Caenorhabditis elegans: one gene and its partner. The protein of the gene in region 1 interacts with the protein of each later gene in a pairwise test. Each region holds a gene or a part of one and is shown in the gene's direction. Other genes may lie near its edges.

Region 1 (4,524 bases):
GCAAATAATTTAATACGGGGACTCGTTACTTTGAGATGTTTCAAAACATTGGCTTTTGAATAAATAAGTCATATGTGTTTCTATAATTCTTTCAAAATAACAATTAGAATTATGAAACTGTTTTAATATTTTACGAAAAACTTTAAAACAAGACTAAGAACGACAGATTAAGAGTGACCCGTTTCAACCGACGACAACTTTGCCGGTGTCTTCCTTTCCAGCCATTCGTGGCTTTCCCACTGTGAATGGAATGTATCGATATTTGATCATATGCTGGAATACATATTATTTTGAAAAGAATGACGAGTTTAAAAAACATACCATAATCTGTCTCTTGAGAGTGAGGAAGGTAAGGATGAAGAAATACATGACAAGAATTGGCCAGAATACTGGAACATCGAAGAATTCGAAGAAGGTGCAAGTGATTGCGATCAGAGTGGCCTTCATGAAGGAGTGCCTAGAAAAATAATATTTTGAATGACTTTCTCCGTTTCAAGATAATAAAGACTAACCAAAACTTAAACTCTGGCAGACGACGCATGAATGGGCGGAATTCGTCGTTTGTTTTCGATGGAAGAACTGGACCATCATCTTCATCCTGCAGAAAATAATGTTTACTTCATAACAAAATAAAATAACAAACCTCGAACTCTAAAGCTGGATCAATTGATGGAGTTAAAAAGAGCAAGAAGAGATTCAAATAGTAGATACCGACAGCATATGCAACAATGTAGAATCCCTGAAATCAAATTAATTATAACGTGACTTGAAGAAAAAAAAAATAACTCGTTGGTGATGAACTTTTTTTTTTGAAAAATTTTAACATATTTTCTATTTGTGCTCACTTACTTGCAAGAGAATAATTCTAGACGCAAAGAAGACGAGCGAGATCAGAGCGATAACCCATCGGAATGCAGTATGTGGCGTGAGACGATCGAGATAGTATTGATACTTCTGCAACATAATCAATAAAGTCACAATTTGCATTCTGATTAAAATTAACTCACCACTTCCAAACTGTGAAAGAAACGAGATGTTACACCTGGCCTGTCCCGAAGTCCGTCGTCCATATTACCTGATGAAATTGATAATGAACAATTGAAAAATTAATTTTTAAATTAATCAAGAATTAATTGAGAATAAAAACTTCATAGACGTGATGAAAATACGTGAAAAGTTGGGAAATATTGATTTCGATTAAAAAAGAAGTACACGTAGAAATATACGCAAACACGGTGACGGCAGAATGCACACTGTCTCTTCAAAACTTTTAAGGATGAATAAATTCAATTTTCAAGTTTTCTGTTATTTTTTGCTATTTTTTCATCAAAAAATGAAAATATTTTATATAGCAAAATATTCTGAAACTACCTAAATTTATTTCTTTGAATTGTTTTGAGCATTAATGGGAATTTCACAAGATTGATTCAGTTTTGCGAAGTTTTTGTTATCGAAAGTGTTCAAACTGCTATAGGGATATCCTAATGTATTTCTATTTCTATTTATATTCTATCGTGATTACATTTGGAAAATGATAGAAGAGTACCTTATATACCACTATAGTTACCATTGATATTTGAAAAAAAACTTATTTAAGGCATTTAAAAAATTGCAAGCTGGTTGGCTACCGTAATCTTCCTTTTCGAATCGCGAGAATTATTCTTACTTTTCGGTTCTTTCATGATACAATATTAGTAATGTTCCAATATTTTCAGATTAAACCATGATTGACATCGATAGTGTCAGTCTACCAATTCTGATCGGGGGATTAGTTGGCTTTGTCACTGTGATGGGAGTAGCAATAATCTACGTAGCAAAGAAGGAGCAACAAGGAGAACAGGAAGAAGTGTAAGTCATTAAAATAATGAATTGAACGTTTTTTTAATGAAACATTTCAGTGACGTTGTAATGGATGAAGTGACAGAGACGATTATTAGCGAGGAACCAGTGAAGAAGAATAAGCACCAACGAACGAATGATCAATGGAAAGCAAAGGAACCAACATTCGTTCATCCATGGAACGTATCAGTATTGAAAGGACATAAAAAAGAAGTGACAGATGTTGCATTTGCTTCAGATGGCAAAAAGTTTGTATCAATTTCCGGAGATCGTTCGGTTATTCTCTGGGATGTTAGAGACTTTGAGAACAAGGAACACAAATGTATCAGACAAACGGTTGAATATGACACTCCAACTCGTGTAGTATTTGCTCCGGATTGTAAGAGTGTTGTATTTAGTGTGAAAAGAGAAAACAAGGTATACAATGATTGAATTTTGATCAACACATTCATAATTTTTCAGATTTGCGTCTACAAGCTCGTTAAGAAAACCGAAGGATCAGGATCCCATCATTTTGTGCATATTGACAATTTAGAATTTGAAAGAGTTCATCAGGTTGATATTCAAAATATTGGCATTGCCGGAAACGGTAAGTTAACTGCGAAAATTGTTTGGCAATTTATTTTTAATTTTCAGCGAAATACCTGATGAGTGCAGCACTCGATAACAAAATTTGTCTTTACGATCTACGCGGACAACTTCTACAGTCAATTGATGCTAAAGTGAGCAGTCTATATGACTGTCGTCTCTCTCCTGATGGTCGTTTTATCATTGTATCAGGATTCACACCAGATGTATTTGTTTTCGAGCCAATTTTTACAAGAGATGGAACATTCCAGAGTGCCAAGAAAGTGTTCAGTCTCAGTGTAAGCTACATTCATGATTTCCAAAATTTCATCTGAATTATTTTTAGGGTCACCAATCTGGAGTACTTGCTGCTGCTTTCAACAACTCATCGACTCGTGCGGTCACAGTCTCCAGAGACGGAAAATGGCGCATTTTCGACACCGATATTCGCTATGAGGCTGGGCAAGATTCCAAAATTTTGAGAGAGTGAGTTAAAGAAAAGCGAGAAACCGAAATTATATAGCGGGATAAAATGAGAAAATAGAATAGGTGATTGCTAGGCAACGAAAGTGAGTAGACGTCTATAGCGAAAGAGAGGCGAGTTGATGATAAAATTGTGTTCTGTTAAGCACTGCGTCTTATTGAATTCACACTAGAAAGTAACAATTTTTCAGGGGAAGCTGGGCTCCTCTGCATGCCGCCACAAGTGAACACGTGCGATTAGAAATGAGCCCAAGTGGTGACTCATTTGCAGTTTCGTTCAAGACAGATTTGAAGGTGTTCGCTTCGGAAGACGAAACCAAGGACTATCCGGAATGTAAGACAAAATTGATTGGATTTTTCAATATCAAACATTTATTTAAAACTTTTTTCTAAAATATCGGATTTTTTTTCTGTTGAACTTTCTGAACATTGTCAATTTGCTCATTTTCGAAAATTAGTTTAATTTTAGAACAGTTTAATTGTAAATAATCCACGATTCTTGAAAACTGAAACCACATTACAAATTTTCAGTGAAAGACATCTGCTCGACTACAATTTCATCGATTGCCTATTCCTCTGACGGAAAATATATTGCAACATGTGGAGACAAATATGTCCGTGTCATTCGGAATGTTCCAGAGTGGCACAGCAGAGTGGTTAAACTGAACCGAGAGCTTCCAGAAATCACACAGGAAGGTGCTCGTCGCCGTATCAAAGAGCAGATTGATGAGGCTCAGGAACTTCTGAAGCAATTCGAAAAATAATTTATTTTATTCGTGTAAAGTGCCAATAATTCCCTCCTAAAGCGGTGTTATGTTTATTTATTTATTTCTTCGCATCATTTGATTTTATAAATACGTGTACGTAAACTTTATCTAATGGCTTTTCCCACGTTCTCTGTTATAAATCCCGTGAAAATTATATTTTGTTATGTTTGAAACATTTATTTAGGAAATTACTCCTTTCTAAATAGATGAGTCTTCCTCCTCGACCGTACGATAACAGACCCCCAACGGGAGTTAGAGCGAAACCTGTGATCAATCTCAATATAGAATACACTTCCTGCAATGATTCAGTGGCACCTGCATGTAGCACACGTCCGATGCTTATCGAGAACATGATTAACCAGAGAAATGTCAATATAAATGTTCTGGAGGGATACGATCCTAAGTCGAAAAGTGTTATTGTAAGACATTCCATAGTTTAACACGGCAATTCTTCAATAATTCATATTCAGAACCAACATTCGATCTACCATCTCTATGAGTTTGAATCTAAAACAAGATTTCTCGATCGTATTCCACGTCCACGAGTGAGCCGATTCACCGAACTCGTAATTGGATATTTATGTAAAAGAAAAAAAAAACTCATTTTTATTTTGCAGAAAACGAGATTTCTCTGTTGTCGCTATGTCCTTTGTGCAATTGATGATGTGATGCAAAAGCAAAAACCAATGGAATTGATGGCAATTCGTTTGAATGGAGACATTTACATTGGCGCTAATAAATCTATGGATTTGTAATATAACGATTTTAAAATTTACTAAACGATTGTACTCGTTTTAGGCAAACTGACAAGAAGACCCAAGAGGCGGCATTCGGTGGTTTGAATTTCGCCATGAAGGTTACGAGAGAA
Region 2 (5,170 bases), on another chromosome or scaffold:
CAAACGCGCTCCATCGCCACGCGGTAGAGAGTGGAGACGTAGAGAACGATTTGCTAGATTTCGAATTTTTAATTTAATTCCCAAAGTTTTTCGTTGTTTTTCGTGTATTTTCCACAGAAAATCTAGGTTTTTTGTAATTTTCTACTATTAAATTTAACGATTTCTAATATTTCTCTAGTTTTAAACCCATCGCCGCACTTTTCCTGCGTAGAACTAAAAAGCAAAATTTTTTTTTTTTTTGGCTTTTTTTCGTCAATTTTCAGGTTTTTTGCGGTTTTTCTTTAACAAAATTGATTGTAAAACAGCTTTTTAGCCTAATTAACTCTATTTTCGGCAAAAAACTATTTTTCGCGAAATTAAAGAGGGGGTACGTTTTCGTAAGGGGATTTTTTCGTAAGGAACGCTTTCAGTAGGGCAATGTGCGGCGCGCCTTTTCGCAAGCCCGCCGCACAGTCCTTCGCAATGCGCCGCACGGCTTTTTGCAATGCGCCGCACGCTTCTTCGTATTTATTTATTTATTTTTCCAACAGGAAATTTCGAACGGAATTCAATTAAAAACGGATTTTTAATGGAAATTAAATAGTTTTATTCGAGCTAAATACGGATATTTTCAGAATTTTCGATGACAAAAACGGGTTTCAATCGATTTCGAATCGATCAAAATTAATATTAATCGAAAATGAGCGTTTCCTTCCCGGAAAAAAGAAGAACTTGATGCTGAGAGTGATCCAAGCGGAGCCAAACGCTTTTTTAGAGGCAAGTATTATTGATGTCTAAAGATTAATTGAAGAGTGAAAAGTATTTTTCAGCGTTCACAAACAACCCGAGTGAGCAGCAATTTTCCAAGCTGAAGGCAAGTTTCTTTTTGTAGTTTTTTAAGTTCTCAAATAGGTATATAACATCGATTTGTTTTGTTTTCCAGAGAATGTATCATCACAACGACTATCAAAACCTGCGAGGAGTGATTCAAAAGACCATTCAACTATCAAAATCATTGATCCTAGACTTGAAGAGACGATCCGGAAATCGAACAACCGCTGTGCCATTATACAAAAACCCCGATTTCTGTACTTCAGTGTTTTTGAATTATACCGGTTTCAGTGCTTTTAATGAGAAACTTTTCCCTTTTATGGAAATTCCGAAATGCTATCACTGATCTCTTTGTTTACCTCTGTGCCATTGGATTATAGAAACAATTTTCCATACTCAGGTTATCCAAATTTCGCCATGATTTTTCTTACTTAATTTAATCGAATTAACTTTTGTTTGCAGTTTTATTTTCCATTTCGACTGAATAAAAAATCACTTCTATCATTTTAATCGTTTGGCTCCGCCTGGATCACTCTCAGCATCAAGTTCTTCTTTTTCCGGGAAGGAAACGCTCATTTTCGATTAATATTAATTTTGATCGATTCGAAATCGATTGAAACCCGTTTTTGTCATCGAAAATTCTGAAAATATCCGTATTTAGCTCGAATAAAACTAATTAATTTCCATTAAAAATCCGTTTTTAATTGAATTCCGTTCGAAATTTCCTGTTGGAAAAATAAATAAATACGAAGAAGCGTGCGGCGCATTGCAAAAAGCCGTGCGGCGCATTGCGAAGGACTGTGCGGCGGGCTTGCGAAAAGGCGCGCCGCACATTACCCTACTGAAAGCGTTCCTTACGAAAAAATCCCCTTACGAAAACGTACCCCCTCAAATTAAAAAAAAAATAGTGCAAACGCGCTCCATTGGCACGCGCGAGAGAGTGAAGACGCAGAGAACGGCTTGCTAAGTTTAAAATTTTCGAATTAATTAATTTTCCCATTTTTTCTTGTTTTTCCGCCGATTTTCAGAGTTTTTCTTGGTTTTTTCCCGATAAAATCGACTTTAAAAATTATTTTCAGCGTTTTTATTCAATTTTTACCTAAAAATCTCACGAAAAATGTAGTTTCAGGAAATAATCGATCAACTAACGGATCAAATTTGTACAATGAGTAAGTTTTTCCGATGAAAAATGATAAAATTAATATGAAATTCACGATTTTCAGTGCGAAACTCTCACACAATCGAGAATTTCGAGCGAATGCCGGACGGCGAAACGTCGAGTCTGCCGGATATCACAAATTATCAAGAAAGTGTGGACGAAAATCCCGTTGAAGAGTGCTCGGCGTACTCGGATACCATCGCAACGTGCTCAATGTGCTTGCAAGTGGCTCCGCACAGCCAATTCTTCGCGTGCACCTATCCGGGATGCGGTTACGCGTTGAAGCAGAAGGAATCCGTCAAGTCTCCGACACTTTTCTACAGAAAAGAGAGAGTTTTGTGTGGAGCGTGTGCTTTTCTTGGAGATCATGCTCATCACAAGGCCTATTTGCTTAAGGCCGATAAGCTCGCGGTACGGGCTTTTTTCCGAATTTTCAAAAAATCATATAAAATCTAGAGAAATTTTTTGAATATTTTAATCATGATATTCGGTCATTGTGACCCCATATGCGTGTTTTAAAGCAATTTCCCCACAGAGTGGAGTACACCTTTAAAGGAGGACTAACGGTTCGGACGATTTTGAACGTATAGACTCAAAATGAGCTCAAATAAACGAATTTCGTAATGATACTGCTCAAAAATTTTTCAAAAATTTTTTATGGGGGTTCAAAATTTTGATAAAATTACACTGATTTTAGCTAAAATCACGATTTTTTCCCATTTTTCCGTGTCACGTCCATCCGAAGTTAGCTTTTTTTGGAATTATCGTACTTTATTGCATATATTGGTATTTTATCTCATTTAATTTCGTCGATTAAAGTACATTCAAAGCCGATAGGTAACCAATTTCGATGATTTTTGGTTACCTATCGCCGATAAATGTACTTTAATCGACGAAATTAAATGAGATAAACTACCAATATATGTAATAAAGGACGGTAATTCCAAAAAAGACAACTTCGGATGGATGTGGCACGAAAAAAAGAGAAAAATTCGTGATTTTAGCTAAAATCAGTGTAATTTTTTTTCAAAATTTTGAACCGCCATAAAAAATTTTTGAGCAGTTTCATTGCGAAATTCCTTCATTTGAGCTCATTTTGGGTCTATATGTTCAAAATCGTCCGAACCGTTAGTCCTCCTTTAAAGGTGTACTCCACTCTGTGGGGAAATTGCTTTAAAACACGCATATGGGGTCACAATGACCGAATATCATGATTAAAATATTCAAAAAATTTCTCTAGATTTTATATGATTTTTTGAAAATTGAAAAAATCTCAGTTTTTCCCCTAATTCCTATTTGAATTTCCGCCAATTGAACTCGTTCGATGGAGCGCGCTTGCATTATTTTTATAAATGTATTTCATCTATTCACACTATGTCACTGATTTTCTTCACTTTTTTTGTATTTTTTTTGATGGAAATTGGAATGAAAAACTAAGATAAATGCAGAATGTTTGTTTGCAAAATCACTGAAAATACGTAAAACAGTAAAATAATGAGTACAGTTTTACGCTTTTTCAGTGATTTTTAACAAACATTCTGCATTTATCTTGGTTTTTCATTCCAATTCCCATCAAAAACACAAAAAAAAGGGAAGAAAATCAGTGAAAATAATGTTAATAAATAAATTAAAGTAATAAAAATAATGCAAGCGCGCTCCATCGAACGAGTTCAATTGGCGGTAATTCAAATAGGAATTAGGGGGAAAACTGAGATTTTTTCAATTTTCAAAAAAAAATCATATAAAATTGAGAAATTTTTTTTGAATTTTTTAATCATGCTATTTGGCCATTGTGACCAGGGCTGAGCAGCCGCCCAAAAAAGTCGCCGATCGCCGATGGAAATTTTTTTTCGGCGATCGGCGATCACAAATTGCCAAAAAAAAATCGGCGATCGCCGCTTGCCGATTGCCGATTGCCGATCAGTGTGCGTCTAATTTTTTTCAATTTTAAAATCCTAATTTTAAGAGCTCTTTCAAATAATTTTTTATAAAAACAGGAATATTAGGCAACGAAAAGCACTCCTTTTTTCCTTCTTCAGAGGGGTCTATCTTGGACTATAAAATTTCATCGGCGATCGCCGATCGCCGATTGCCGCTCACCCCTGATTGTGACCCCATAGGCATGTTTTAAAGCAATTTCCCCACAGAGGCACTGCAACTTTTTTTGAACGAGGGACGAGGAAAAGCGGTTTCTAGGCCGTGGCCGAGGGCCGACAAGTTTCAGCGACCATTTATCTTGCTTTGTTTTCCGCGTGTTTTCTTTTATTTTTCACAGATGATAAGTAAATATTTTTTGCAGATGCTAAAACAATTTCCAAGTAAAAAAATTATGTATTCAGTGGGCAAGCAGCGGTTAAAGTGGGCATTGTAATATGATGCATTACGGGAATACAAAACCTAAACTTACATATGCTGCTTAAATGCTGAGACTACCTGATTTTCATAACGAGACCGCTGAAAAAGTTTTGAGGTTTTCAAAATTCAACGTTTTTGGTGAAAAAGTAGAAATTTTTGCACAAAAAGTTGAATTTTGAAAACCTCAAAACTTTTTCAGCGGTCTCGTTATGAAAATCAGGTACTTTCAGCATCTATGCAGCATATGTATCATGTTTGGAAAAAAGTTTAGGTTTAGTATTCCCGTAATCCATCATATAACATTGACCACTTTCATCACTTCTTGTCGACTGAATACACAATTTTTTCACTTGTAAATTGTTTTAGCATCTGCAAAAAATATTTACTTATCAGTTTTAATAAGAAAAAAACGGGAAAAATCTGTGAAAAATAAAAGAAAACACGCGGAAAACAAAGCAAGATAAATTGCCGCTAAATCTTGTCGGCCCCTCGGCCATGGCCTAGAAACCGCTTTTCCTCGTCCCTCGTTCAAAAAAAGTTGCAGTGAGAGTGCACCTTTAATTTAAAACAAATTTTTCAGTTTCTGACCGCTTCTCGTGAAATCGGCGGGAAATTGGAGATGGATATGGAGGAAGTGTGCAGACTCGATAAATCTCATCCAGTTGACAATGCGATGATCATTAAATCTGGAGGACACGTGGAGTTGGAAAAAGTACATTTTTTACAAGGAAATTTCAATTTTAAAAATCTTTTTTTTTTTTTGAAGATTTCGGTCGTCAGCTTCCTTTCTCAAGCGAAAACCATAGAGGAATGGCATTCACGTCATTGTATGGTCAATGAAATGTT

Evidence for each region.
Region 2: the proteins of F46C5.9 (region 1) and Y48G10A.2 interact in a two-hybrid assay, tested with the Caenorhabditis elegans proteins (one large-scale study listed by BioGRID).

Annotation. Positions count from the first base shown.
Region 1 is NC_003280.10:8,807,921-8,812,444, reverse strand, and holds F46C5.9 (WD_REPEATS_REGION domain-containing protein), read left to right. Parts: upstream 1-1,715; 5' UTR 1,716-1,723; coding exon 1,724-1,848; intron 1,849-1,898; coding exon 1,899-2,256; intron 2,257-2,301; coding exon 2,302-2,428; intron 2,429-2,475; coding exon 2,476-2,705; intron 2,706-2,752; coding exon 2,753-2,892; intron 2,893-3,080; coding exon 3,081-3,223; intron 3,224-3,420; coding exon 3,421-3,653; 3' UTR 3,654-3,809; downstream 3,810-4,524. Other genes in the region: rer-1 (Protein RER1 homolog), read right to left, coding at 184-273, 322-457, 513-598, 644-739, 850-954, 1,008-1,070; F07H5.10 (Decapping nuclease), read left to right, coding at 3,863-4,075, 4,127-4,222, 4,274-4,407, 4,455-4,524.
Region 2 is NC_003279.8:13,484,174-13,489,343, reverse strand, and holds the start of Y48G10A.2 (E3 ubiquitin-protein ligase UBR7), read left to right. Parts: upstream 1-1,975; coding exon 1,976-1,979; intron 1,980-2,033; coding exon 2,034-2,380; intron 2,381-4,904; coding exon 4,905-5,036; intron 5,037-5,090; coding exon 5,091-5,170.